4 linked regions of the Tamandua tetradactyla genome follow. The protein of the gene in region 1 purifies or fractionates together with the protein of each later gene. This does not show direct contact. Links are inferred from orthologs where the notes say so. Each region holds a gene or a part of one and is shown in the gene's direction. Other genes may lie near its edges. The genes, in order: SLC30A4, METTL9, STX8 and PDS5B.

What was found.
Region 2: the proteins of SLC30A4 (region 1) and METTL9 purify together in Homo sapiens (co-immunoprecipitation; 3 studies listed by BioGRID and IntAct, with this or other methods). This does not show direct contact. The link is inferred for Tamandua tetradactyla from reciprocal best matches to the Homo sapiens genes SLC30A4 and METTL9.
Region 3: the proteins of SLC30A4 (region 1) and STX8 purify together in Homo sapiens (co-immunoprecipitation; 3 studies listed by BioGRID and IntAct, with this or other methods). This does not show direct contact. The link is inferred for Tamandua tetradactyla from reciprocal best matches to the Homo sapiens genes SLC30A4 and STX8.
Region 4: the proteins of SLC30A4 (region 1) and PDS5B purify together in Homo sapiens (affinity purification with mass spectrometry; 3 studies listed by BioGRID and IntAct, counting the BioPlex papers as one, with this or other methods). This does not show direct contact. The link is inferred for Tamandua tetradactyla from reciprocal best matches to the Homo sapiens genes SLC30A4 and PDS5B.

Annotation. Positions count from the first base shown.
Region 1 is NC_135340.1:59,805,620-59,812,633, reverse strand, and holds the start of SLC30A4 (putative proton-coupled zinc antiporter SLC30A4), read left to right. Parts: upstream 1-4,008; 5' UTR 4,009-4,176; intron 4,177-4,352; 5' UTR 4,353-4,466; coding exon 4,467-4,857; intron 4,858-7,014. UniProt on the Homo sapiens protein: Probable proton-coupled zinc ion antiporter mediating zinc import from cytoplasm potentially into the endocytic compartment. Controls zinc deposition in milk.
Region 2 is NC_135349.1:34,751,662-34,758,602, reverse strand, and holds the start of METTL9 (protein-L-histidine N-pros-methyltransferase), read left to right. Parts: upstream 1-3,918; 5' UTR 3,919-4,156; coding exon 4,157-4,321; intron 4,322-6,941. UniProt on the Homo sapiens protein: Protein-histidine N-methyltransferase that specifically catalyzes 1-methylhistidine (pros-methylhistidine) methylation of target proteins.
Region 3 is NC_135332.1:63,395,209-63,402,549, reverse strand, and holds the start of STX8 (syntaxin-8), read left to right. Parts: upstream 1-4,334; 5' UTR 4,335-4,442; coding exon 4,443-4,459; intron 4,460-7,341. Other genes in the region: CFAP52 (cilia- and flagella-associated protein 52), read right to left, coding at 3,788-3,872. UniProt on the Homo sapiens protein: Vesicle trafficking protein that functions in the early secretory pathway, possibly by mediating retrograde transport from cis-Golgi membranes to the ER.
Region 4 is NC_135330.1:197,481,756-197,489,533, forward strand, and holds the start of PDS5B (sister chromatid cohesion protein PDS5 homolog B), read left to right. Parts: upstream 1-4,770; 5' UTR 4,771-6,269; coding exon 6,270-6,331; intron 6,332-7,778. UniProt on the Homo sapiens protein: Regulator of sister chromatid cohesion in mitosis which may stabilize cohesin complex association with chromatin. May couple sister chromatid cohesion during mitosis to DNA replication.

The DNA of each region.
Region 1 (7,014 bases):
GAGGGGAAATTCAAAGTTTGGATGAACTCTCTCTGATTATAGTATTTTCCTGTATTAAATCCATGAGTATCTGCAGGGCTTCTCTGTGCATATGGTGTTAGGTGCTAGGAATATAAAACCACATGGGAGAGAAAAGAAGCAACTATAATGGTAGGGTGGGGAATTAAGAATTCTAAATGAGTCAGAATGTATCATTAATAAACCAAGGACTGGGGATTAGCAGTCCTAAGAAAAGAAGATATAAGTGGATAATTCTTGGCCACCAGCATTTGCTCACACCCTGATTTGTAGGATGATTCAAATACTACAGTACGTAAAAACTGTATCTAGTAAATTAGGTGAGGAAATTCTTTCACATACAAAACCTCATTTCATGTTTACAATGTCCCTATGAAATAGGAATGGCAAATATTCTTTCATTTTTTAGAGACTAAGAGAATGGGCTCAGCAATACTGCACTGCTTACAGTAAGGGTCACAGCAAATAGCTGGCAAAATTAGACATTGATCCATGTTCTCCAAGTTCTTACAAGGGGCTCTGAGGCAGAAAGGGATCTTAGCTTCTGTGCTGGTTTGAAACTTACGTACCCCAGAAAAGCCATGTTCTTTTAATCTGATCTTGTGGGTGCAGACTTATTGTGGATGCAACCTTCTGATTAGGTTGTTTCCATGGAGATGTGGCCCCTCTCATTCAAGGTGGATCTTAATTAGTTTACTGGAGTCCTTAAAAGAGCCGATAGAGAGAGTAGACACCTAAACACAGATATTTAGAGATGTCTGGAGAACTGACACAGAAAACCACTGGAATTAGAAGCTGAAAGCAAGGTAACCTGGGAGCAAAGACCAAGAGATGCCAACCTCCTGCCTTCCCAGCTGACAGAGAAACCCCGGATGTGACTGGCCTTTCTTGAGTGAAGGTATCCTCTTGCTGATGCCTCAATTTGGACATTTTTATGGCCTTAGAACTGAAAGTTGTAACTTAATAAATTCCCTTTGTAAAAGTCAATCTATTTCTGGTATGTTGCATTGAGGCAGCTTAAGCAAACCAAAACAGTTTCCAGTCTGCCTGTCACCCTCACCTATAAGCTCCCAGCCCAGCCACCACCTCCAAACCCACTGTCCCAACTGGGCCTCTTATTCCTTCTAATTTCAGCCAGACACGGTTGGAGAAAGTCATTAGGAGTGTTACTTTTAAAACTAAGGGAAAACAAAAGCAAAGGATTAATTAAAAACGATTCATTTGATTGAGTACAGGTTGGTGTGCCTGGAAGGTTAATAGATTCCCTGACCAGGGATCTTCTCCTTTATTTCCACCTTATCCAAAATGCCACCTTTCCTGTCCTTAGGCAATTCTCTCTTTTACTGGTTTTGGGTCCTTCTCCTCTCCCCTCCCCGGGAGAAAGCTTAGACTGCAATCCCAGCACTTCCATTAATAGAGCGATCCAGAGCAATCTAGAGGAGGAAGAGGCTAGTACACTCACCATCGCTGTACATCACGTCATGTTCCGCCATGTCATGTCACATCGCTAACCCTTGTTCATACCCATTCAATAACTATTTCCATCCACTCTTAAAAAAATAAAGGGATGCATTCTAAAAACATTCTATGGGAACCATCTATAGTCACAGACTCCAATGGAAAAAGTTCTCGGGATGGGAAATGTGCAGCATCCGAACCTTTCAACTAAGCGGCATTTTTCCCATTTTTGTTTAAATTAAAATACTTTCTCACTATTTTTCCTCTCTCATTTCCCTTCCACAAAGGGGGTTTCACAGGCTGGCGCTGAGGTCTCAAGTCACTGGCACACTTTGAGGTATGAAACAGGGGTCTCTCAGAGCATGCCTCAAGGAGTCTAGGTGCTTTTCTGCAGACTGTTCTATTCATGTGCAGAAAAACTGAGAGAGGCAGTGTAGATGAATGGTTAAGATTGAGCTCTGAAACCAAACAGATAATTGAGCTCCTGTTCTGTTATGTGCCGGCTTCATGACCGTGGACAAGTTCCTAAACCTCCCTGAGCCTCCACCTCTTCATCTACTTTAAAAATAATAACTCGCATTGATGGACTATGTGACTAGAACTGTCTATGCTTTTACACATTTTGCATGCATTATCTCATTAAATCCTTACCACAGCCTTATAAAGCATCCTCACTTCAGAGATAAGAAAATTAAAACACAGGGAGTTTAAATAATTTGCCAGAGATCATATGACTAGTAAATGGTGAATCCAGGACTTGAACCCATGTCGGTGACTCCAAGGCCCATGCTTTTTATCTCTATCTTCTTCATAGTGATACTGTAAGGATTAAATGAGCTAATGTAAGTCAGGCCCCCTACATGGTGGTTGGTGCATTACCGAAGTTAAATAAATGTTAACTGTGGTGTTATTTATAGCATTTGCCTTTTATTCAAAAAGATATCTGGGCCAGAAAGCAGGTTTAGACATAGGATATTTTGTGTCTATCCTAGTTAACTGTTCCAAGGTATATGTCTTGCAACTGAACTGACAGACCTCTGCTATTACCTGACAATCTGTGTTTTATGGGTTGCCTGGTTGAGAAATGGGAAATTTTCCCTTTGACCATGCAAAAGAGTTCTTCAGACTAAAAAGAAGTATGGAGTTTTTTTTTATAAAACAATGGCAGACTGAGCAATAGCTAGCAGAACTGCAAGCAGTACTTAGATTATAAATGGGTCACGTTTCAAAAGTATATTTGCCTATTGTTATAAATTCTGAATACCTAGAAATAAGACTACAAATGGTGGTTACATTCCCAGCCTATTCACAAAAGTCTATTTATTTAGCCTATTGCAAAGTTCAATGATAGAAATTATGACACTAGCCCGAAGGAAGGCCGGCAACAAAATGCCATGTGATGAGAGAGTACAAAAAGTGTCTTTCCTAGTACAGAGGAAATCTGACATAGAGTACATTTGCTATCTATTACATTATAACAAAGTATCCCCAAATTTATCAGCTTAAAACAATAGACATTTATAACCTCACACAGTCTCATCTGGGAGTAGATTAGCTTGGTGGTCCTGACTCAGGATCTTTCCAAGGTTGCAGTCAGCACTGGCTCAGGATTGACTGGGCCTGGAGGATGTGCTTTCTATATGAGTTGCTCACATGGCTGTTGGCAGGAGGCCTCAGTTCCTCACCACGTGGGCCATTCCCATGGTGCTGCTTGAGTGTCCTCACAACATGGCAGCTGGATTCTCTCTGTGCAAGTGATCTAAGTGAGAACAGGAGGAAGCTGGAACACCTCATGACCTCGTCTTATAAATCACACACCATCATGCCTACCATATTCTATTCCTTAGAGGCTATGTAATATTCAATAAGCACAGCCCACACTCACTAGGAGGGGAGTTAAGGGGCAAAATGAACACAGCTGTGAACACACGGAAGGCACATATATTTGCTGAATAACAACAGTAAACCTAAAGCAGGACACAAAACTGCTGACAACCATAAATAAGCCGTGCCCTTTCCAAGACAGCCTGACTGGGCAGCAAATTTTGCCAACCGGCCAAAGAGGAAGCTACTACTCAGCTTCTCACTTAGTGAGAAGGCGCTGGTTGTTTTTTGCCTAGTGCCTGCAACCAAAACCATAGGGCAGGTATCTGGAATGCCGGGCAACGACACCCAACCCCGGCGGGACCGTTCGAGCCCACCCGTTTGGCCCGCAGATCCCGGCTCGGTCCGCACATCCCTCCCAGTCTGAGAAGGTTGGAAGGGCCACGCGGGAGAAAGGGTCTCGCCTCGGGTAGGGTAAGAGGCAGCGACAGAGCACGCGGTTTAGTCTCCCGGGGCCGCAGACTCGCGTGCCGGGCCCAGGAGCTTGGACCCGGGCGAGGGGCGGGGAGACACGGCGCGCGCCTCTGCTCCGCCCCTCGCGGACGCTCATAGGCCTGTGCCGCGGGCCTGCATGTCCACCCTCCCACCCCTCCCTCCTGCGCCCAACCCGTTGCCGCTCCAGCGCACGCGCGCCGTCTCGCGCAGGGCGGAGAGAGGCGGTGGCCGCCCGGGACCTGTCAGACCCGGAGAGCGGCGGGCGGGTGCTACAGGCGCGAGGACGGCTCCGTGCCCCTGCTGTCCTGGGCGGAGTAGTTCGTGCCAGTCGGGCCAAGCCGGGGCGGAGAGATGAGCCGTGGCCCCGAGGCAGCGCCCCAGGTAGATGCGCCGTCCCCCTCGCGGATCTCGGGCCGGCGTCTACGGACGCCCGCAGCGGCGGCGACCCAGCGGACGCGTCGCCTCCAGGCTGGCCCTGCGCCTCCGCCGCGCGGGGCACTGGAACTTGCGGGGAATGTTGGGAGTCTTTAATTTTTAACGCGTTTCGTTTTCCGCAGGATGGGGAGGGACGCGTGGCATTGCCATCGGGAACGGGCGCTCCGGTGAAGTAGGCGCCGCCGACCGTCCGCCTGCCCTGAGGCGTTCCGCGCCGCCGCCGCTCGGCCTCTACCATGGCCGGATCCGGCGCGTGGAAGCGCTTCAGATCTCTGCTGAAGAAGGATGATGCGCCGCTGTTTTTAAATGACACCAGCGCCTTTGACTTCTCGGATGAGGTTGGGCACGAGGGGCTTTCTAGGTTTAACAAACTTCGAGTTGTGGTGGCGGATGATGGTTCGGAAACCCCAGGAAGGCCTATTAATGGGGCGCACCCGGCCCTCCAGGCCGACGACGATTCCTTGCTGGACCAGGACTTACCTTTGACCAACAGCCAGCTGAGTTTGAAGGTGGACCCTTGTGACAACTGCAGCAAACAGAGAGAATTACTGAAGCAGAGAAAGGTGAAAACCAGATTGACCATTGCTGCCGTTCTTTACTTGCTTTTCATGATTGGAGAACTTGTAGGTGAGTTGTGTTTCAACTCACTTTCCATTTACCTTGCCTGGAGAGTCTTGGTCAGGCTTTAGATAGGCATGATATGAAGTTTAAACTTCGTTTTCAGGAAATTTTGTTATCTAAGATACTGTAATCTCATGATGTGAAAAGGCCACATGGTTCCAAAGTGCAGATCAACCTGAGCACAACATAAACTTCCAGAGATAAGTTTTGCTTTCACCTAGCTCTCCAAACACTGTGCCATCTACGGTCAAGTTATGGACATTATCTTCATTGTGTATCATAGAACTTCCTCTTTTTCTCTCTCTTTATAGTCTGAGAAAACACCAGGTTAATTTTTGCAGCATTTAAAATAGTACCTGATTCTAAAGTTATTTAAAATCATAGAATTTTACAGTCTGAAGGGACTTACTGAACACCTGCTCCAACCTGCTTATTTTACACAAGAAGAATCTGAGGGCCCAGAGAGGGTCAACATGCTGTGAGGCCAATTAGATGGCTAATGGAGGAGCCACAGCTACAATCCAGTCTCTTGATTATTTCCCTATATTTCAATTTAAATGGTTTCTTTATTGTATTTTCTTTTGTATTTGTTTGCAAGAGATTTGCAAAATTAATGCTAAAAATAATGCCAAATAATAACATTATAAAATGAAAAGGGGTACCTAAAAAGAACCAGAGGGTTCATCCAGGATTTTCTGAACTTGGTTTTATTTTTCATGTTTTAATTATGCAAGTAATACATTATTACTGTAAAATATATTCTTATTTAAAAATTATTTTTACAGGCACTTTAGGGTAACTGCTAGTTCCTCTTATCTATTTATTTTTTATTGTTATATATTATATATTCACATACCATGTAGTCATCCAAAGTGTACAACCAGTGTTTCACAATATCATCATATAGCTGTGCATTTTATCATCACAATCTACTTTTTCTTCTTTTTTGTGAAAAACAACACTTATACAAAAAAGCAAGCTAACTCCTCTTTTTTTTGAGGGGGGGGTGCATAGTCCAGGAATCGAACCCGAGTTTCCTGCATGGAAGGCAAGCATTCTACCACTGAACCACTGCAGCCAAGCTTGCTCCTCTTAATGACAGTTTACAGAGTGACATTAAAGCAGGGAGATGATTCACATCTCTTAATGATAAACACTGACAGGAGCAGAGGTGGCAGTTCAGATTTAGGATGCTTGGAGGTTAAGTGAAGGAAATTTGTATGCGCTTTCTACCTCCTGTCATACCACTTTTCCCCCATGTTCCCTTCTTTCTCTTCCTGGGATTCCAAAGCTCTTTCTGACTCTAAAGTCTTCAAACTGGCTGGTTCTTTTATTTCCATGGCTTTCAAACTTTATTTGACCTCGTCATAGTAAGAAATAAACTAAACATTGTGACCCACATAGACATACAAACATACATGTACATATATATACACATATATGTGCACACACACGTATATGTATAACTGAAACAAAATTTTATCTTGTGCTGTATCCTAATATTTTTTCAACAGTGGTCCAAGCCCATTAAATTGGTTCATGGTTCACTAATAGGTGAGGGCCTGAAATTTGAAAAACACTGCTTTACATGGACGGCCCTTTCAGGTATTCTCTTGAATGGTTTCTTGTTGTTGTGTCTTATCTCAAAAACCACTTCCAAGACACCTTTTCTGTCTGTCTAAAGAAAACCTTCCTTCTCCCCTGCTGCCTCCCCAACTTTGAAACCACTCAACATCTGAAATTATCTTGTTTGTTTATTTACTTGTTTCATATTTCTTCCCCTACTCAAATATAAGCTGAATCCTGAGCATCTAGGATAGTCACTGGCACAGGGTAGACACTCAAAAATATTTTTTGGTTGAATTATTTTGTTAGAGAATTATGAATGTTTAAGCTGTAAAGAAATTAAAAGTCAGGAGTGAAGTTATGGTCAGATAAGGCACAGTGACTTAACAAAATTCACACAGCTAGAATATGGAGTCATTCAGACTTAGTGATTTTTGAAGTTAAATATTTAATATTTGAAGTTAGAAAATTTTTTTCCCTTTTAAATTTAAAATTTCACAAATTTTTTTCCCTTTAAAATTAGAGTTTTTTCACATATGCAAAAATCATTAAGATATAATTTTCCTGAGTTAGCATTTTTGAAATTTCTTATTTGGT
Region 2 (6,941 bases), on another chromosome or scaffold:
AGAGAGAACAAAGTTCTGACCCACTTCATGGTTCAGTACTAACAATGGCTGGTTAGGGAGCTGATGATATTGGGCACTGTGCTGACAGCTGTGCTAACATGATCTCATTTATTCTTCTCCAAAGTCCCATAAGAGCCTGTGAAGTGCACAGAGATTCTTTGCATCCTACATCAAAGCCGAGAAGCACCCCGTTTCTGTTGTCACAAGTATTGGGTGCACCTATAGTCCAGGAAGAACTTGGGCAACTCGGAAGCTCTCAAGCTCAATAAGGAAATGTCAAAATGAGGACCACAATGCCACACTTCCTCAGGGCAGCTTTCCCTGAACACTACCCCCATTCCACCCTCAAGTAAGGCATTCCTGTTATAAGTTCTTCTAACACATAGACTCTTTCTAGCACTCAGAAGTTTTAAGTATATATTCATTGTATAATTACTTGTTTGGTCTGTCTCCCTACTAGACAGTAAGCTCTATGAGGATTTTATTTTGTTTTCCTTTATGCCTAGTTTAGTGCCTGATGTAAGTAAATACCCAGAAAGTATTTATTGAATAAATGAAGATGGTCTGAGGAGAAGCTATCAGTTGTAAGAGAATGTTTTAGGGAGAGTAGCTTTGCAGAATTCACAGTCATATCAGAACTGAATATTCCTATTATGATAATCTTGGTTGAATGTTTTACAGTTTATGAAGCTTTAAGATCATCTGATTCTCACAGATTGTGAAGTAGGCATCATGGCCCACAGATTACAGATGATGAAAGGGAAGCTCTGAAGAGGTTGGTTTATCCAAGAGAAAATGAAAAGAACAGAAATTTAGCATTTTCTATGCACTCACAATGTGTTGAGGTGCTACACTACGCCCTTTAAATTTAGAATATATAATTTCATCCTCACAATATCCCTAGAGATAGGTAACTATTATTATTATCCCCATGCTACAGATGAGAAAACAGACGCCTGGAGAGGTCCAGTAAAGTGATTTAGATTATTGAATAACCAAGAAGCACAGGACCAGGTTTCAAAAACCAGGTAGCTTGTCTCAACAATGCAGATGATAAACCCCTATGCTAATATGTAGCATTGAGAGGACGCTAACGTAGTTGCTGTGCTATTTGTACTTGGTACTGCAGGGCTTCTGATTCCTGGTTTAATTCTTCTACTTCATGCATGTTTGAAGTTTCACCTGGACTTAGAATTTATCATTCGGAGACCACTGTGATGTGACTTGTATATGACTGCAATCATATGAACTAAATTCAGGTCAAACCCTGTACACTCATTCATTTTACTTTTGAGAGGTTTCTTGTTGCACACATCTATTGAATATGTTGGGAAAACTTGGTCTAATGTTCTACAAAACATTATTATGCAACATAAAAAAATTTAAGCCCTTGAAAACGTAATGATAAAAAGTTCTTTTTTGACTATATCTCCTCAAAGAGAAAACAATGGCCAATACTGTAGGCACTGTACAGATCCAAGCCTCTAATCATTTAGGATCTCTGAATATTACACTGTGAAATTGAAGAGAGAACATGAAAATGCTTTATCATTTAAAAGAATAAGCAAATAAAAGCCCTTTCTTCGACTTCTGGATAGGAACTCAATCCACTCAAAATTTCAGGTCTGCAGAGGTCTGTGACAGGTTTCCACAAGTGAGATATGGCACTAGGCATGGGCTCCTGGTTAGGAAAACTGAGGAGAGCTAGGCACAAAGGGTGCCAGCTATGCATCTTTTGATTATCACTGACAGCATTTCAGAGCCAAGTTAGAAAGGGTAATGGCTCGAATTATTCAGCTTTTTGTGTTATCTGCGCCTCTTCCCCTTTGCATTATGGATAACTGAGGTTTTAATCTACAGGAGTGACATTCTAGTAGATAAAGGAAGGGGGCAGTCCCCAAGAGCAATCTGAACTTCTGCTTAGTATATTTACTCTTGCTGTTTTCCTTCCTCCTCATTTGTAATTGAGGAGACTTTCTGACAAGAGAGTGGCATCGGGGCTTCTTAGATGGATCAAAGGACCGTGAGCTGGGATACCAGGTTCTATGAAAAGGTCTGCTATTGAATTTGCTCTGCTACCTTTAGGCAAATCATTTGATCACGCTGCGCTTTGGTTTCTTCCTGTGCTTGCTAAGTGTAAATAACATGTATTTGATTATTTTGTGGTTACTATAGAGTATTTTAAATGTGTGGGTAATTTATTCTTCCAGGCCAGCTGCTCAGGTATAAAGTAAAAATCTGCCCCTTCGAGATGCTAGACTTCTTAGGAGTTAGCTGACCCCAAATCCTTCAGGCTACAACAGCATTTAGTTGTTTCACCCTTTCAGTTTCCAAGTTGCCTGCTCAGCAAGCTTACTTTATAAGGGGTGGGAGAAAGGGACATATCTTTTTGCCTCCTTTGTCTTCAGAACGGAAATATGCCGTTTGTCTGCTGCTTCCACCCTCCTCCTCCCACTTTGAAAAGATGAAGGCTTTCTTTTGGCACACAGCTCCTGTATCTGTAACACTGATCCCAAGACAAGAGGGAGAGGTGACACAGTAAACAAACTGAGTTATTTGAACTCGCTACTTTAGTTTCTTTTTGATGATTTGGGCCACTATCATTGGAGGTTTGAAGTAGATTTAATAAGATGTAGTAGGCTCTTTGAGGTTTTGGCAGGAAGCAGACAGGGAGTATAATGGAAAGAGAGAACACAAAGTACTCCCTGCCCCCTTCCCCCCATCCCCCTTTACATTAGGCAACAAGATGTCCCTGTTAGTGAAAGGTGTCAAGCTGAGATTCTCAGAAGCTAATAAAAATATCTGTGGGTTAGGAACGAGGCTGCTGCTTATCAGATCACCACACCACTGTTTCATAAATGAAAAGCTCTGAAATGCAAATTTGTCATTAACCTAAAGATTGTTCTTTTGTTTTCGACTGAAATGTATTTACATTATTTCTGGTGTAGTTAAATTAAAAGCGTTTTTAAACAGACAAACCTAGAAAGGTGTTATTAAAGCTAGAGGATCCATGAAATACGTTACTCCTCGGCTGTAGCTTGGGTAGCGGCAGGAAGAATTTTAGACATAGGAACACTGTGTAACCCTTCAGTTTTCAGACGTTGCTAGGACTCCTAGTGCTACACAGGCGTAAACATCCGGGTAAGCACCGCTCCCAGAGCTTACTTAGCCTGAATGTTTGGTCCAACTTCCGTCTGTGAGTTCAAGAAAACGAGCAGCCAGCGACTCTAATTTGGGGTCTCCATCCTTAGGCAGGGCCATCAACACATCAAAACATTACCTGCCCAACTGCAGTAGCTTTCAACAAAAGCAGAGCCTTTGGCCCGCAATGTGCCAGGCTTGGGGGCACGGGGCCGGTGGTGGTATCCTTTATCCCTAGATTCCTATAATGTCCTGCAGTTCATGTGAAGCAGGACGGAGGCCCTTGGCACTGGGGGTTTGACTCGACGCCTCTAAACATAAACTGGAGGTATGCAGCCATGCCTGAACAGTTAAGAACTGGCAGCGTTTGTCTCTGGGAAGGACTTGGTTCTTGAGTGTTAAGACGTAAGAGGGGCTGACCCGCTCTCACCCCTCCACCCCCGGCCAATCTGCCCAACAAGGTGGGCGCACCGCCCGGGTGTGGGATGAGGCGCCCAAATGCAACAATTACGGCGATGAAAGACCAGCAGTCCTGCGGGAACCACCTTGGAGGAGCGGAGGGGCTTCAGTTACCGCCTTTGGAAACGACCCCTCCTCCCCTAGAAAAATTAAAATCATCTCCGCCATTACGTGGAGCCGTGGCAGAGACAGGAAGCGTGGACGCGCACCGGGCGAATGAGCGCTCCTTTTGTCCCGCCTCCCGGCCCGCCCGCTCATTGGACAGAGGGAGAGCGCCCCGGGGAGCACGCGCTCCAGCCGCTCGTACGTGCTCCGGCTGGAAACTGGCGCCGCCCGCGGCTGCGTTCCGGGGACGGAAGGGAAAGGGGCGGTGGGAAGGCTGCGTGTGAGTCGGCCGCTCCTCCCCATCCCCCGCCTCGGCCCCGAAGGGGCTGGATGGGCAAGTTGGGCGCGATGGCTCGAGCGCCGGCGGCGGCGGCGGCGGCCGGAGGCGGCGGCGCCTCCTCCTCCTCGCCCCGGCGCGGGCGGTGATCTGAGCGAGCGGCCGCGGCCCCCGATGAGACTGTTAGCGGGCTGGCTGTGCCTGAGCCTGGCGTCCGTGTGGCTGGCGCGGAGGATGTGGACGCTGCGGAGCCCGCTCACCCGCTCCCTGTACGTGAACATGACGAGCGGCCCGGGCGGGCCAACGGCAGCCGCGGGCGGCAGGAAGGAGAACCACCAGGTACACTGCCGGACCCCGGGCCGGGGCGGGGGCGTGGCGGCCGGGCCTTCCCGCGCTGAGTCCGGCTATTGTGCCGGGTGGCTCGGCACCGCGAGAGGGAGGCCGGGCCCTCGCTCCACGGTGCCGGCGCTTCGGAAAGTTTTCCCCCCCGACTCCCCGGCCGGGCGCCGGTCCTCCACCCCCGGGCGCCAGGGCCCGGCCGGGTAGCGTCTTTTGTTCCACGTCGCGGGCAGAGCACGGCCTCCTTTTTCTCCTTCCCGGGCCCGAGCGTGGGCGCCCAGGAGCCCCGCATTGTCCCCCGGTCCCCGGAACTGATTGCAGAAGCCCGGCCACCTCGGCGGCTGCTCCCGGCGGCAGGATGGGAGGAACTTTGGGGCCGGTGCGTGGCGGGGGGCACCCGCCTAATACCGGGGCCTGAGATCCAAAAGAGCCTCTCAGACCGGTCAGCCCGGACAGCCTTCATAACCTCTGGGAAACATAACGAAAAGCCGGTGCATCTTTCTGTCTAGTTGAATCTCTGAGCATACAAAGGGTCATAAAGAAATTTAACCATGCATCGTGAGCCATTTCACTCTCCGGGCTTATGCAGGTGACATCTTCCCTAAGCATTAAAAAAATATGTTTGAAAGGTCCTGACTCCCATCCTACGGAACCTTCCTTTCTCATCCTTCCCAGGGGAGATTTCCTTTAAACTTCTATTTAAGTATCTGACCGGAAAGATGTTTATGAGGAGGAAGATGATGCAAGCTATTACAGGAAGGGCTTTTAAAAACAGAACTGGGCTGGAGTTGAATTCCTTTAAGAGTTGTACTTGGGGATCGTGAGTGATGCGATGTGACCCGATTACCGTCTTATCATTAGCCCAGTTTTGTGTCACTTAAAGAAGTACGGGCAGTTCAGCTGTAGAATTAAGAGTGAGCTGTTTCATATTTGACCACACTTGCGGTTAACATTACGTTCAATTAGAAGAGGCTTTTGAACTCTGCTAGGGTGCTGGCTCATAATAGCTAGCATTTATGATACAGAGAGTAGTGGCTAATTATTCTCCATGTCGTCTTGTGTATCATTTTCACATTTCTTATTTTTCTGTGTTATTTTTCTTAGAATGCCAGATATTCAGATAGTTTACACTGAGGTTGATTTCGTGTGACTTAATGACAGTAAAGAATTATCTAAGAAGTGGATAAAGCAGTTTATTCAGAAAAGAGACATTTTAGTTTTGACTTAGTGAATATGTAGGTCCCCTTTTCCTTTATTGAAAGGAATCCTAAATTTATGTTTATAGAAAATACGTATATTTTTTGTAATCTCTCAGGTATTGTAGTTTGTTAGGCAGTCATTCCTGTGATAGTGTAAGAAGTGGTAAAACCACGTTCATTGCTATGGAATAATTATTTTAGTTAATTAAGAAACAACTCTAAAGTCCTGTACTGATAACTGCTACTAAAATGACGTATTCATATAGAGTATGGATAATGGCATAGAATGATTAATTAGAAATGTCATTTTTAACAAAGATTTGATAGAAAAACGGTCTGGATAAGGAAAAAAAGGCTTATTTCCATTGATGTAGAATTATGATTGGGTGTTTTATTTGAACACTTATTATCACCTGTTCTGCAGCAAACTTGATAAGTTTTCATTGCTCATAAAAGAGTAGATTTATTTTAAAATTTGAAAAACTGTTTAAGCAATTTGACTTTTATGGAGCCTAGTAGAATTATAACTGGTTGTCATAGCCTCAGAATGTCTCCTAACAGGATGCCTTCTAATTGTGTACGTTTTAAAAACTGTCTGTCACACTTAGGAAAACTTCATCTGAGATTATATTCGTGTGTGTGTGTGTGTGTAAACACGTATGTGTTTTAACCATTTGCACTGACAGTTTCACAGATTTCTCCATGGTGAAGTCTAATCTGGTGCTTTCTGAGTATTTAGGGGGGATTGACTATTTTACTTAGAATAATGAATCCAGACTTTGTTTCGAGATGAATACGTTCACATTGTGAAAATTTCTTTTATGAGTAAAGATTAAAATAAAAAGTATATAGAAAACACAGTAAGATAAAGTGAGGTAAGAGACTATTCTACGCAACTTGGCTAAATGTATTATATTCCAGGATCCTAAATTTACCTTTTAATTTCTTGCTTATAAAGTAACTTTACTCTTAATGTTTTTTTAAAAATTTTTTAGAATTAATAGTTTTATGTAAAGTCTTCTGGTGTTCATCTGGTGGTGTTGATTCCATAGCCAACCACATCTGGTTCTTTTGGAATTGCTTGAAAGGGTTGTGGATTTGATTGAGCTGTACTTAGCACAAGTTTTCCTTCTGGTTATTTTATTAAGGGATTATGGTAGAGTGTTCCATGGTTAAAAGAGAAATCTTGTGCAATGTTTATTCATTAAAAATTGCTACTTAGTATAGCTTGGAGATGGAAGGGCCCCTACTGGTAGGCAGCTCCTCATGCTAGAGGGAAAAACATGAGTGAGAAAACTGGTTTCTCTTACTTTGGGCAAGTGAAAAGCAGGGGCGTCTTTTAGAGCAGGAAAATGGCCTGCGGGCCAGTTTGGACTCATTGACTTTTTTTAGGCTTGCTGACTTTTTGTACTGGCTGTGAA
Region 3 (7,341 bases), on another chromosome or scaffold:
ACTATAAGGGTCATAAATTCTTTCAGTGACTGTCTGAAAATATTCTAAACTTCCCCCTTATTTTTGGAGGACAGTTTGCTGGGTATAGAACTCTTGGTTGGCAGTTTTTCTCTTTCAGATTCTTAAATATATCATTACATGGTTTCTGCTGAGAAATCCATACAAAGTCTTATCGAGCTTCCTTTGTATGTGATGGATTGCTTTTCTCTTGCCGCATTCAAAATTCTGTCTTTGTCTTTGACATCTGACAATCTGATTACTAAGTGTCTTGGAGCAGGTCTATTTGGATCCATTGTGGTTGGGGTATGCTGTACTTCTTGGATCTGTAATTTTATGTCTTTTATAAAAGATGGGAAATTTTCAGTGATTATTTCCTCCATTAGTCTTTCTGCTCCTTTTCCCTTTTCTTCTCCTTCTGGAACATCCATGACACATATATTAATGTGTTTCATGTTGTCATTCAATTCCCTGAGGCCCTGCTCCTATTTTTCCATTCTTTTCCTTCTCTTTTCTTTTGCGTATATGATTTCAGATGTCCTGTCCTCTAGTTCCCTTATCTTTTCTTCTGCCTTTTCAAATCTACCATTGCAGGTTTCCATTGTTTTTTCTTTATCTCTTCAATTGTGCTTTTCATTCCCATAAATTTTGTGATTTGTTTTTTCAAACTTTTGAATTCTCTTTTTGTTTGCCTAATGTCTTCTTTATATCCTCTCTCAATTCATTGATTTGATTTTTGATGAGATTTTGCACGTCTGTTCAAACATCTTGAATTAGTTGTTTCAACTCCTGCACCTCATTTGAAATGTTGGTCTGCTCCTTTGACTGGGGCATATCTTTGATTTTCCTAGTATGACTCATTATTTTTTGCTGGTATCTAGACATTTGATTTCCTTAATTAGGTTATTCTGGAGGTTGTTTTCACGCTTTTACCTAGGGCTTTCTGGATGGCTTTGTTCTCTATCTGTTCTTTGGTATCCAGTTCAACTTATTTTAGACCTGATTTGCTTAAATTGATTCCTGGAAAAATATGATACCTCAGGGTGCAAGGGTGGTTCAGTGGTAGAATGCTCACCTTCCATGCAGGAAACCTGGGTTGGATTCCCAGACCATGCATCCCCCCCCACCAAAAAAAGTCTCTGTCTATATAAAATAAGTCAAGCACAGTTATATACTTATTACCTCCAGAATTAAAATTCATAAAATAGAATAAGACAGTATAATGGGTGCTAGTGTTACAATGATAAAAAGATTTTGACTTTTGAATTTGCTTCTCATTTGTTTCTATGTGAACTATGAACTTAATAACCTGCTATTTAAAGCCTTCAAAATCAACCCCAGGCACCCTTTCCAGGGTTATCTTGCCAGTCTGATACTGAAGTCACACTGAGCTATTTGCCATTCCCCAACCAGGCTCCACTCTAAGGAAAAAAGTTAAAAGATTTAGCTATGCAGACGTTGTTTGTAGTACTTTTAAATAAATGAAAAAATGTGAATTATTCTAAATTATTAATAAAAAGGTATTTTAAAGTCTATTACATATCTATGCAATGGAATAATACATTAAAGTATTAAAATTATGATGTGGAGCATATTATTAAAGAAAGATCTGCATGGCATACTGTTATGTGGAAAAAAAATCTGGTTATAAGAGCATATATATATATATATATGGCATGAGCTCTCTTTTACTAAAAAACACATTCATACATAGATATATAAAAGACCGTGCCAAAAGATTAAGAGTGATATCTTTGGAAAGTGTAATGATGGTTGACTTTTCTGTTGTTGTTTCACTCTTTTACCTATTTTCTAAACTCATCTTTTTAAGTGTGGCCATGCATTTATGCCTGTATTCTCAGTAAACAACTTAGTATTTGGCATATAGCTTTTCTAAATAAATATATATTCAACTACATGAAAGAATGTCAATTGCACAAAAACAACAAAGTAAAACACAGTTTGGTTGACTTGGGCCTTTCTAAAAGGCAAAACTATTTAATAATTGCTATGGAAAACATGGTGTTCTAGTTTGCTAGCTGCCGGAATGCAATATACCAGAAACAGAATGGCTTTTAAAAAGGGAAATTTAATGAGTTGCTAGTTTACAGTTCTAAGGCTGAGAAAATGTCCCAATTACAACAAGTCTATAGATATGTCCAATCAAAGGCATCCAGGGAAAAATACCTTGGTTCAAGAAGGCCGATGAAGTTCAGGGTTTCTCTCTCAAATGAGAAGGCACATGGCAAACACAGTCAGGGTTCCTCTCTCAGCTGGAAGGGCGCATGGCAAACACGGTGTCCATCTGCTACTTTCTCTCCTGGCTTCCGGTTTCATGAAGCTTCCCGGGAGGTGTTTTCCTTCTTCATCTCTAAAGGTTGCTGGCTCGTGGACTCTCTGCTTTGTGGTGCTGCAGATTCCCTGCTCTCTCCGAATCTCTTCTATTCTCCAAAATGTTTCCTCTTTTACAGCATTCCAGTATACTAATCAAGACCCACCCAAATGGGTGGAGACCTGTCATCACCTAATCCAGTTTAACAACCTCTCTTGATTAAATCACATCTCCAAGGAGATGATCTGATTACAGTTTCAAACATACAGTATTGAATAGTGGTTATTCTACCTTTATGAAATGGGATTTTGATTAAAACATGGCTTTTCTAGGGGGCATACATCCTTTCAGACCAGCACACATGGGATACAAATTACCATATAGTTACTCTTAGAGCTCTAGGAAAGGGTATGAAATCAGTTCAGAGCTGTAAGTATGAGGCTGTACACTGCCTCACCACTTCCTTAATGCTCACTGCAGGCCACTCACTACCATCACCAGTGGACTTTTAACCAGCTCTCAAGAGGGCTGATAATGAGATGTATTAAGTGCCCGCTTTCCACAGAGACTTTCCAAGTAAAACGAAGGTGAGAGACAAGAGCCAGGTCCTAGAATCTGCTTAAATCTTCAGCCATTGACTGTTCTGCCTCCTCAATTATTACAATTCGAAAGCTTTCAGGCCTTGCTTTCTCTAAAGTTTAATCCACTGCTTTTTGCACATCTACAAAACAAAACAAAAACAAACAGCATCTCCCCCTTAATGTTCAAAACAGGAGGCAGTCACAAATAAGATTTGAACTGAGCGGCAACCCCTCTTCCAAGCTGAACAGTCGTCCCCTCCAACTTTCCATGGCATCCCTTTCTATGATGGTCTGAAATCTTCATCATTAGAATCCTTCTTTCCAGTTAGAAGACCAAAATCACCCCCTAAAGCGATTGCTCAAACACACATTCCCTCCCCGGCGTATCTCATTAGTACATCAGCTGGGATTTTGGAAGATTTGCTAGTTGGTTCCAAGGGCCAACATAGAGAGCCTCTGGTGGGTTAGGAGGGGCCTGGGGCTTTGCCGGCTTCCTGGGGCTTCCTAGGGCTTCGGGGCAGGAAGGGCTGAGCCAGTGGAAGGAGGGTCATAACACAGGCATCATCCCATTCGTTTTTTGCTCCCACCCTCCTACTCAACTTTCAGTCCACGCGAGGCATTTAGTCCCTTTTGGGTGCCAGGAGCATGCAAACACCATGCCACTTTCTGAAGCTCAGAGCGAGGAAGTTACTGCCCAAGGCTCTCGGGCGGGAGAAGACAGGCTGGACCCGGGCTCTTTTCAATGCCCCTCACTGTCTTTTCGGTGTTCCCAACCCCCGCCCCTGCCCCAGCCCGCCCCGGTGTCTCACTGTCCCTGTTTGCCCTACACGTCGCCGGGGTACCTAAACCACCCAGCCCAACATGCCCGAAGCCTCACCATTGAAACCGATCACTGCCTCAAGCTCCAGCTCGGCCACCTCGGCCTCGGGAGAAGTTTGGCCGTCCATCACCCGTTTATCCATCACCGACTCACGGGCCTCTGTCTCCCAGCGGGCGCAGAGTCTTCTGGTCGTTATGGTAACGGGCGTGCGCACGCGCACCAGATTCACGCCCGCGCCTGTGGCGCTCAGATGCCCTCTTCTTGCAAGCCGAGGTTTCCTTTTTTCTCTTACGCCGGACATTTAGGAAGAATTAAATACACAGCTAGCTGCATAGCCAAGCATCTACTGGGGCTCGACAGACAGGTTGCTGTAAAATAATACATACTTAATACTTCTTTGGGTGCCCTGTCTGAAACAGGGTAACATTTTAAGTAATATAGGAGGCGCTTCACCTTCGGTTCAATTTCAATTTTATTTTAATCGCGCCTAGCAGTTTGCGTCTCAGTCGGCGCGGATTCCTGCAACCTTCTGTTCCCCAGAAGAGCGCTTTCCTTTTTTCATCTCGGTTTTAGGCCTTAACTTTTCAAAATTCACTTAGCAAATTCCCGGCTCCGGGCTCAAACGGCCGAACGGCGAGCAGTGAGCCTCGCGGGCCGCCGTAGGCAGCTGCCGCAAGCAGGAAGTGTTGGTAGAGCCGGCGGAGACTGCACCATGGCCCCGGACTCCTGGTGAGCCCCGGGTGAGGGCGGCCGCGCGCAGACCCTGGTTCTTAAGAACCCTGGTTCTTAAGGGGACGCCAGGGTTCCGGGGAGCGGGCGACCGTTCTGCGCGGGGGGTGGAACTCCTCGGGGTGAGGAGAGGGGCCGCAAGGACCCTTCCTCTGTTGAGAGGGACTCAGTCGTATCTCGCCACCCTGGGTCCTCGCGGAGGTGGCCCGGGAAGGAGACCTGGTGAGCCCTCGGGAAACTGAGGATTTAAGCTTAATCTGAATATTTTGAAGTCTGTTTGGGCTGCTTCTCGCCGCGGGGATTTCCCGCCTATCTAGATTTGCAGCTGACTGATGGAGGCTTCTCTTGGACTCTTGAAAAAGTGAAGTAGAAGTAACCTCTTTGTCGAATGTCAGTGCCAATGACAGACTTCCCCGTCTCCCTTTTGCTTCACAGATTGGAGGAAGCGAGGTTCAAAATCCGAGGTCCCCAGCCACCTAGTAACCAGTTGTAGCTAAAACCTAGATCTTGTGTGCCCTTTAGAAAGTGTGTAGTAATTTGGGAGAGAAATTATGCACTTGATCATAAGGCATTTTCCCCTTCTCTAAGTAATACCATGAATTCTTTTCTTTCAGCAATAACTTCTGCATAAGGCAATAACTGGTAAAGACCATTCCTTCACAATGAGTAACCATTAAATCCCAAGGACGGAATGATGATAAACACAAGCTCTGATCACAAGGAACTTTTTTGCTGTAGCATATTGGATTTGAACTTTTTGGAGTATATGCCTTATGCTGGTCTTTTCAATATAGTTTATAATTCTTTAAGTTTCGGGCAGTCTGGATGTTAGAATGGATACCAAGATGAAAGTTAGAGTTGCCCAGGACCTAGATCATCTAGATCAATCTCTTTATTGATTTAATACTAATATTTTCCCACCTCATTTTAACAGCTGTATATTCCCCCTGTAGAAATTTAGAAGATACTGAAAGTTTGCAGAGAAGAAAATAGCGTCTTTAAGTCTACCATTTGGAAATAGCCACTGGTGATTTTTAAAATGAACCTATTACTTTAACGTGGATATTTTGTGTGCATTTTACAAAATAGGAAGCATTTTTCCACGTCATTAAATATTTTCTGAAAACATGATTTTTATGATGTTTTAATAGTGCAGCAAATGAGAAACCGTAATTTAACTTTTCACCTCTTTGCTAGATTAGATAATTTCCCCCCCACTATTGAAAAAGCTGTGTGCCTTTGTAGCATCTATTTCCTTTGGCTCACTTGGGAGAAGTGGAAGTATTGGTTCCAGAGGTATGAACATTGTTATGGCCCTTGACACATGTTGGTAAATTGCCCTCCACCTCCTGGAAGCTAACCCCCTCAGTTTGCACGTAAGGTTGGAAATAAAGCCCAGAAACAATAGAGGGGCCCAAAGTTACCCTATTCAGTTGAGTGGAAATGCCAGCTGGACTCCAAAACTTTTTAATTTTGAAAAAGCTTATAATTTTTTTGTGTTCTGTCAACTAGTTTGACTTAGTGATTTTTTTATTTGGTTGCTGGGAGTGAGGGAATGGCTGATGGGCTGACATTAGCTACCCCTCCAAAGTGGGTTAGATGTGTATTTTAAAGTGAATTGCAAGTTGCTGCTTAGGGGGTACAAAGGAGTACAGAAAGGAAATTTGAAAAACCTATAAAACCAGATTTGACTATAGTTTTGCCTACATACTGTTGGAAATCACAGATCACTGAGGTCCCATTCCTCAAAAGTGTTCTAATATTTAGAAATGAAAACTATTACTGTTTTGATGGCATAATAAAAGCCAGTGATAAGCTCACTGTTCAAGAGAAGTAGCAAGTGATTACTGTACTGGCCCTGAATTGATTCTTTGCTAAAGTTAGTTAGTTTTACCTCTAACTTGTTGATGATATATTATTTCTGGAAAATTTTCAGTAAATGCTCAATAGTTTAAATGTTGGATGGACTTTTTTTTGGTAACTTTTGTTAGTACAAAGTAAACATTTCAAAGTAAAGGCATTAGTGAACACTGGATGTCAGTAGCATGTTCTCTCTTATTTTTGCCTACTTTTTTCTTTTCCTTTTAAAGTAATTTCAAATGTACAGGAAAGTTGCAAAAATAATACAAAAAGCAATGCAGAGAACTCCTATTTACCTCCTATCCAAATACCCATATTTAACAACTTCTAACATTTTGCCGCATTTATTATATCTCCCTCTCTCTCTTCTTCCCTCCCTCCATCGCTCCTTCCTTCTCTTTCCATCTTTCTATCTAACTATAATTATCATCTGTCCATTTTCTAAACATTTTAGACTGTTATATGTATCATGTTCCTTGAACAGTGAATACTTTTGTGTATATTTCCTAAGAACAAAGATACTTATATAACCATATTTAGAACAGTTATCAGGATGAAGAAATTTAACATTGGTATGAAGCATGCAGTCTTTTCAGTTGTCCCAATAATGCACTTTTGGACGTCTTCTCTTCCATTATTAGACCTAGTTTAGAATCACGTATTGCATTTAATTGTTTTTGTCTGCATCTCTCTTTTTAAAATTATGGTAATATATATACAGCATTAATTTTCCTATCTCAGCCACCCCCAAGCCTATAATTCATTGGCATTAATTGCATTCACAGTACTCTGCTACCATCACCAGCATCCATTACCCAAACTTCCCTGTCACACCAAAAATGAAACCCGGAATATATTATGCATTAACTCCCCATTCTCCCTCCCTGTTCCAGGTAAGCTGTGCTCTTCTTTCTGTCTCTTTGAATTTGCATAGTCGAGTTGTTTCATGTAAATGGAATTGTATAATGTTTGTCTTTTTGCATCTGGCTTATTTCATTGAACATGTCTTCAAGGTTCATCCG
Region 4 (7,778 bases), on another chromosome or scaffold:
GCACTAGTCAAATGATAAATTTTGTACCAAATAAACATTTTTTGCTTTAGTCTTACATGTAAGTTAAAGTTTTAAAATATAACTTACCATCTATTTTCAGCACGCTGCAATATTGACATTCCTTTGTTCTTCCTCATGCAGTTTTTTAATTTGTACATTTAGTCACTATCATTGTACACTCTAGGCATTCCTGGATTATACCATCTCAGTCTTTATCATCTATCTTTCCTTCTGATTTCATTTGTGCACCCAACCCTCCTCCCTCTATCATTCTCACATTTTCATTCATTGTACTAACATTATTGTATTAGTTAACTACCCCTTTTCTTAAGGAAACTAACATAAAACAGCAATATTTTGCTGTTTTTTTCTTCCTTATTATGCTCAAACTTTGGCTTTACCTTCTGCTTTTCTAGCAGGAAATGTGATGGTGAGCCACCTGTCATCATTCCACATCTTTGGCGTGTTTTCAATCTTCACAAGTTTTATATTCTTTGCCATCCCACCAGTAAAGAAAAGGGTAATGAAAAGAAAGTATGTTTTTTATTCTTAAACAGCGATAGCTATTTACTAATGGCATACTTCTGTCTGCTGGGCGTGTACGTGTTCTCAAATCTTAGAATTAGACTGGACAAACTGCCAACCCATTCCCTATTCCACACTGATTTCTGTGCATTACTTGCTTTTTATCACAGTAACTGCTACTCTCAAAAGGAATGTAAATGATCTCATGCTGTAACTGTCAGCTGCCTTAGCTGTTCGTTTGCCTGATGTCCCACAGGTCTTGAGTCTCTACTTTCCTTGAAAATCTGAAATATCCCACAAAGCCTTGTGACTTCACTTTGATGTCCATGGTGTTCTGAGATGCCTCGCTGCCCAGCTGGTAGTTTACAGTTTATGCTGGGAGTATGTGGGGAGAGGCTATCCACATTTTATAGAAGAGAAAAAGGAACTGTCTGTGTAGAATAGGCTGTAGGTATTTGTACAAAGCTGTTTTACTGAGCAGTCGTATTCATTTGCATTTTGAACTCAGTCTGTATTTTAAAGTTTATTTTCTGTTGGTATTTTCTTTAACTATAATCAAGTTCCCTTTTAGAGGAAGCAGGTTTTATTTTTTTATTTGCCAGGGAGTTAAAAATAAATATCTTCTTTTATAGTAAAAGGTAACAAAACCATTTTCTATATTACAGTTCTTTCCATTTCTAAATTTGTTTTCCTGGGAAAATGTAGAAAAAGAGATCAAAAGTTAATTTGCAAATAAGTAATTGGCAGTAATTGAGTAATTGCATTAATAGATCTGTAAAGGATAGGTCATATTTAACTAATATCTTTGGAGAGCTGAGTAAGAATTGTAGATAATTGGAAGTCTGTGATAAAAACAAAATAGTAGAATTGTAGAGTTTCCAGATTGCTGTCTGGGAGAGATCTAAGGTGGGATGGTGTTGTAAATGAGGGTCGGTTCATCAGATTGAATTCTTTTGTGCCTTCTAGGCGTTTACACTGGGGGATGAGAGTCGGGAGCAGGGGGTGGAAAGAATAAAAATGGAGGGAGACATACAGATATTGTGTGATTATGTGTGTTAAAGCGTTCTTGTCTCCTGCCAAGTTTAACCTTGAATGTGTTTGCTGCCCAGTCTACATTTAAAGTTCAGTTTTGAAAAATAAGATTTATGGAGAAAAGTTTGAAGGATTATGCCTGTAGATTATTTGTTTTCTTCCTTTAAGGATTGCTTTAAAAAATACTTTATTACAAATACTTTGCAATAATAAATCTATAAGTAAATTTGCCTTTCTTCCATCCCGAGCTCAGATTATGACCATGTTCAGTTTTTACAATTTATCATAAAGCAGAAATAATTTTATCTCCTCTGTTTTTGATTAATTTAATTTTGTACATATTTTTCCGTTTCTCTCATCTCCCACTCCTGTCCCTATGTGGTGCCTTTGTGTGCGTGTTCATGCGCATGGTGGTACTGATGTTTGTTTTACAAAAAATGTGATTAGGTTCACATATATGTACATACATACACACTTGAGCAGAATGCTTTTCTTACTCCTCAATACCTTAATATAAGCTGATACTGATCCAACTTGTTCTTTGTAATAACTGCATAATATTCCATGGTAAAATTAACCACACTCCATATATATATATGTAAATATTAATTTATTATAGGAATTAATGTATGCAACTGTGGAGATTGGCAAGTCTGAATTCTATAGGGGATATAGGGTATATATGACACCATAAGGAAAGGTAAAAACTGAAATGGTATAGTTTAGGAATGCCTAGAGTAGACAATGATGGTGGTTAAATGCACAGATATAAGAATGTTTTTACATGAAAGAGAACAATTGAATGTCAATATTGCAAAGTGTTGAAAAAGGTTTGGTATACAGAAAAAAATACAATCAATGCAAGCTAGAGTCTATAGTTAACAGTAACATTGTAATATGTGTCCATTGAATGTAATATGCCAAAACTAAATGTCAGTAAGTGGGGGATATGGGAATGGGTATGGGTTTCTTTGCCAAAGAAAAGGAAGTTTCCTCCTTTAGATTGAGGTGACAAAGGTATGGCTGTGTGATTATACCAGGAACCATAGATTTTTTCACCTAGGTTGGATTGTATGATGTGCAAATAAAACTGTTTAAAAATGGAGAGAAAGAGATACAAGTGGTGAAGAAAATGTGGAGAAAGAGATGTACCTGTTCACTTTTGGTTGGGAAGCAGGGTGGTACAATTTCTTGGAGGGCAGTGTGGTGGTTCCATAGGAGGCTAGGGATAGGGTTACCATATAATCCTGAAACCCTGTTGCTCAGAATATACCTGGAGGAACTGTGTGGGGACATGGACATTTGCACACGGTGTTTCTGGGCAGTGTTCCTGATCCATAGTGAATGGAGATGGCCTAAGGGTACGACGATTGAGGAATGGAAGGGGAAGCTATGATGTATACATACAATAGACTACTGAGTGGCTGCCCGAAGGAATGAAGTTGTGAGGCATGCAGCTAGGTAAATGAACCTTGAGGACAGTATGTTGAATGAAATGTCAGAATGAAATGACAAGAAGACAAATATTATCATGCCTAATTCATAAGGACTAGCTGTAAAATACAAAGTTGGAGAATTGAAGTCAAGAGCATGGTTGTCAAGTTTTGGGGGCTATTGTAAAGGGTCCTAGATTGTAAGCTTTTACAACAGTCACATATCCAGGAGTTATAACTCTGTTTTCTAAATTCTGAGATGCTGAGCTATTTGCATATAACCTGATCATTCCCTGGAACTTTGGGTATTTGTGTGACACCTGAGACGCAGAGCTCGGAAGCTATGAAAGTCAACACTACCTCATATGGCAATTGTTAAAAAAAGTGAAAAAGTGATCAGACTTCAAGTAGAGTTATAAATGAAACTGATCTGGATAGAACTAGAGTAAATCAGAATACAGGGTAAAGGATGATATGGTCTATATTTTAGAACTTCAACTTCTTTGTGAGACCGAAGGAAGAGACAGTTGTTTGCTGCAAAATTTTTTTTTTTTGAGTAACTCATCTAATTTAACTTGTGTGGTCAGTTTATTCGAACGCCATGATTACATGAGATCTTGTTGGTTTGTACAGGCTAGTGTGGTGCCGTTATACATCCCAGAATAATTTGGGCAGTGAATAAAAAAGTATTTGCAAAGTCCCCTTGGGGGACTAGGAAGAAAGGAGAAAAATTTAAACTCCCCCATCTGAGGAATTTCTGATATTCTCGCAAGCAGACAGGGCAACCAAGGCTCAGTTTGGGACTCGCCCCTATGAAAACTTATTTCTCTAAAGGAGAAGCTAAGCCTACTTGTAATTTATGCCTAGAGTCACCCCCAGAGAACCTCTTTTGTTGCTCAGATGTGGCCTCTCTCTCTAAGCCAACTTGGCAAGTGAATTCACTGCTCTCCCACTCCATGGGACATGACTCACAGGAGTATAAATCTCCCTGGCAATGTCGGACAGAAATCCTGGGATGAGCCAGGACCTGGCATCATGGGATTGAGAAAGACTTCTTGACCAAAAGAGGTAAGAGAGAAATGAGACAAAATAAAGTCTCAGTAGGTGAGAGATTTAAAACAGAGTTTAAGAGATTATCCTCTAGGTTATTCTTAGGAATTATATAGCTATCCCTTTTTAAGTTTATGGTATACTGGGGTGGGTAGAAGAAAGTGCCTGAGACTGTTGAGCTGTGTTCCAGTACCCTTGAGTCTTGAAGAAGATTGTATGACTGTATAGCTTTTACCATGTGACTGTGACTTTGTGTTTGTGAATTGTGTCTGATGTTCCTTTTATTTAGGGTATGGATAGATGAGTAAAAAAAAAGACAAAAATAAATAATAGTGGGGGATAAGGGGTAAAAAAAATTGCGTAGATTGCAATACTAGTGGTTAGTGAGGGGGAGGGATAAGGAGAATAGGATATATGTTTTTTCCTTTTTTCTTTTTTATTACTTTTTCTGGAGTGATGCAAATGTTCTAAAAATGGTTAGAGTGATGAATGCACAGCTCTGTGATGATTTTGTGAGCCATTGATTGTGTATGGAATGGACTGTATGGTGCATGAAGATATTTCAGTAAAAATATTTAAAGAAGAGATTTACCCCACTTCATTTAGCTGTAGGATTTACTACACTTCATTTACTTATATATGTAAATATTAATAGATTTATTATAAGAGTTGGCTCATGCGACTGTGGAAATTGGCAAGTCTGAATTCTATATGGGAGGCCACAAGTTGGAAACTCCAATGAAGGTAAAGTATAATTCCTCAGGAGTTGCTCGCTGGCTAGTTGGCTGAAGTAGAGACAGAAATTCTTATTTCTTACTGCTGAAGTACTCATTTTTGGCTTTTAAGACCTCCAACAGATTGGATGAGGAGACTCCCCTTACTGCTGATTGTAGTTGGATTTAGCTGCAACTGTAGTCACCTGAATAGGTACAGATTCATCCAAGAAATACCCCCACAAGAAAAGTGCTTGGCTTATAATAGATGCTCAGTAAATGTTTGTTATTGAAGAGGAATAGTTGACACAATCCTGTATTGTCAGTTTGATTGTATTTGGTTGATTTTGGTGGAGCCACATGTTTTAGAGCTCAGATGTGAAGGTGGTAAAGCAAACAGACTTGTGGAAATTAAGGCCTTTAAGATAGATGTAACTTAAGAGTGTATCTGAGGGTAGAACCTGTATTATTTATTTTTATTTTTTTGGTTGTCGGTCTGTTCTGAGTTCCTGAAGTTGCATACTGGATTGTTCCAAACTTGTTTGGCCATGGGAATTACCTGAGGTACTTTTTAAAAATAACAGACTCTGAAGCCCTTTCCCAAATCTATTGAAACAAAATTTCTAGAGGAGAACAGGGAAATCTTTATTAAAAGCAAATAAACACAGGACGGTGCAACAATGGCTCAGCAGGCAGAGTTCTTGCCTGCCATGTTGGAGACACGGGTTCAATTCGCGGAGCCTGCCCATGCCCAAACAAACAAACAAAAAAACAGCAAATAAACACAAAGCAAACAAAAACAGGCATGTATGTTTTGGCCACAATACTGCCACAGAAGAGAGCTGAGTTCAGATTTTAGCCAGGATGAATTTAAGGCAGATGTTGTCAATTATCTGTCATAACCACAGAAGAATCTTTGTTATGCTGCCATGGAAATGAGTAGCACACTTTCCTAGCCAGGATGATGTAGTTTTAAGTTAGCCCTAAGGAAAAAACTGTTTTGCTTAGAATTATTGGTTATGAATTTAATTAATAATAAAAATAATATTATTTAATGAGACTAGATTAAAACACTTATGTACCTTCAACATTAATATTTTCTGGGGTATCTTCAAATATTTATAGGCTCTAATGGGTTTTGGAATGTCTTTCTCATTGTAGCGAAATATATTGAGAAAAAAATGATCAGTTGAATTCTTTTGGCGCGCTGGACATCCAGATTCATCTCAGATTCCTCTACCTGAAATTCTTTCATTACATTTTATCTGCAGAGTACATAATTTTCAAAGCAAATTTGTTAGTTAAATGTTTATTATAGTAGATACTGTCTTACTTTTAATTAGATAGAATTAATAATAGTACTTTCATTTGTTTTGTGTACAGTCTGGTACATTGGGTCCTTTGGGATTAATGCAGAGGCTTGAAGAGATACAGTGTAGTTTTATGTGAAGAGTATTTGCCATTGAATGAAAAGTGTGGATCTCTCTCACTTGGCAGTGCCTGAGTCACATTCACCATGCACCTTGTTACTGAACACGGCAGCTTTGTAATCGTCCCCAGATGGGGAAAGAGTGGACGGTAGGTAGTGGGGATCCCAAGGAGGTAAATGACCCTATCTGTCACATTTATTCACTGGCAAAGTTTTCTGCTGTTTTAACAAAACCCTTTCTCCCATGAAACCACTTCTCTCCTGTTTTCTATCGCATCTTCTCTTCAAATGGTTCTGTGCTCTCTTTCTGTTATCCAGAGACTCCAGTTACTGCTTCTCCATACTCCTTTGCAGCCAGCCCTCATCCATTCCTACAGGCTCCCTATGTTTCTTTTCTGTTTTTTTTCTTTTACATGGTCAGGCACCGGGAATCGAACCTGGGTCCTCTGGCATGCAGGTGAGCATTCTTGCCTGCTGAGCCATTGTGGCCCGCCCTCTGTGTTTCAGTTGGTGTGTCTGTGTCTTTGGAAATTCCCTTTCTGAAATACAAATCTGATCTCTCTTCATATTTCTTAGAAATCAAACAAAAGCAAATGATAACTGCTTTGTGTGATAAAGATCAAACTCCTTATCAGGAACATAAGACCTCATATTAACTGGTCCCAATTTCTTCTTCTTCTTTTTTTTTTAATTGTTTTTTATTAAACATACCAATATGCAAACACAAACATTCTTACCATATGATCATTCCATTCGTGATATATAATCAGTAACTCACAACAGCATCACATAGTTGTATATTCATCATCATGATCATTTTTCTCAGAACATTTGCATCAATTCAGAAAAAGAAAAAGGAAAACAGAAAAAAATTCATACATACCATACCCCTTACCCCTCCCTTTCATTGATCACTAGCATTTCAATCTACTAAATTTATTTTAAAATTTATTCCCTTATTATTTACTTATTTTTAATCGATATGTTTTACTCATCTGCTGCTGCCCAATTTCTTTTATCATGACTTTCTTTTAATGTGTGCGCATGGGTATGCACATACACATCTGCCGAGTCATGTTAGTGTAAGATAAATTAGCTCATACGATTGGTGAGTAAGGGAATGTTGTGAGTGGATGCAGGAGTTTTGTTGGTAATAGGTATTTTTTTCTAGCACATTAATATTTTCTCAGTATTTAAGGGCATTCTTTCTTACAAAGATAATATAACACTTTAACAGTGTAGGAAGATGTTCAGAAAAGAACTGAAAATCCTGCTGCAAAAAAACTGCCTTTCTTTAATACAAGCACAAGGTTTAATAGTGTCAAGAATTGCTTTTCCTTTTATCTTAACCTATCTGGTAAAACCACAAGGGCAGATGAAATACTGCAAGGTATTGTGTTTGACAAAAAAATTGAACAAGGCCATCATTGGATTAAGTTTTGAATTTTGCTAAAATTTTTCCTTTTAGAAGTAAATACCTTCAAGGACTCACATCTTGAAAGAGAAACCCTGAATTGGCCAAGGTTTAAAACTGAAAGAACTTGATTAAGATACTGGATACAGATACCAGTGCAGATTTACTGTAGTGGTATTTTA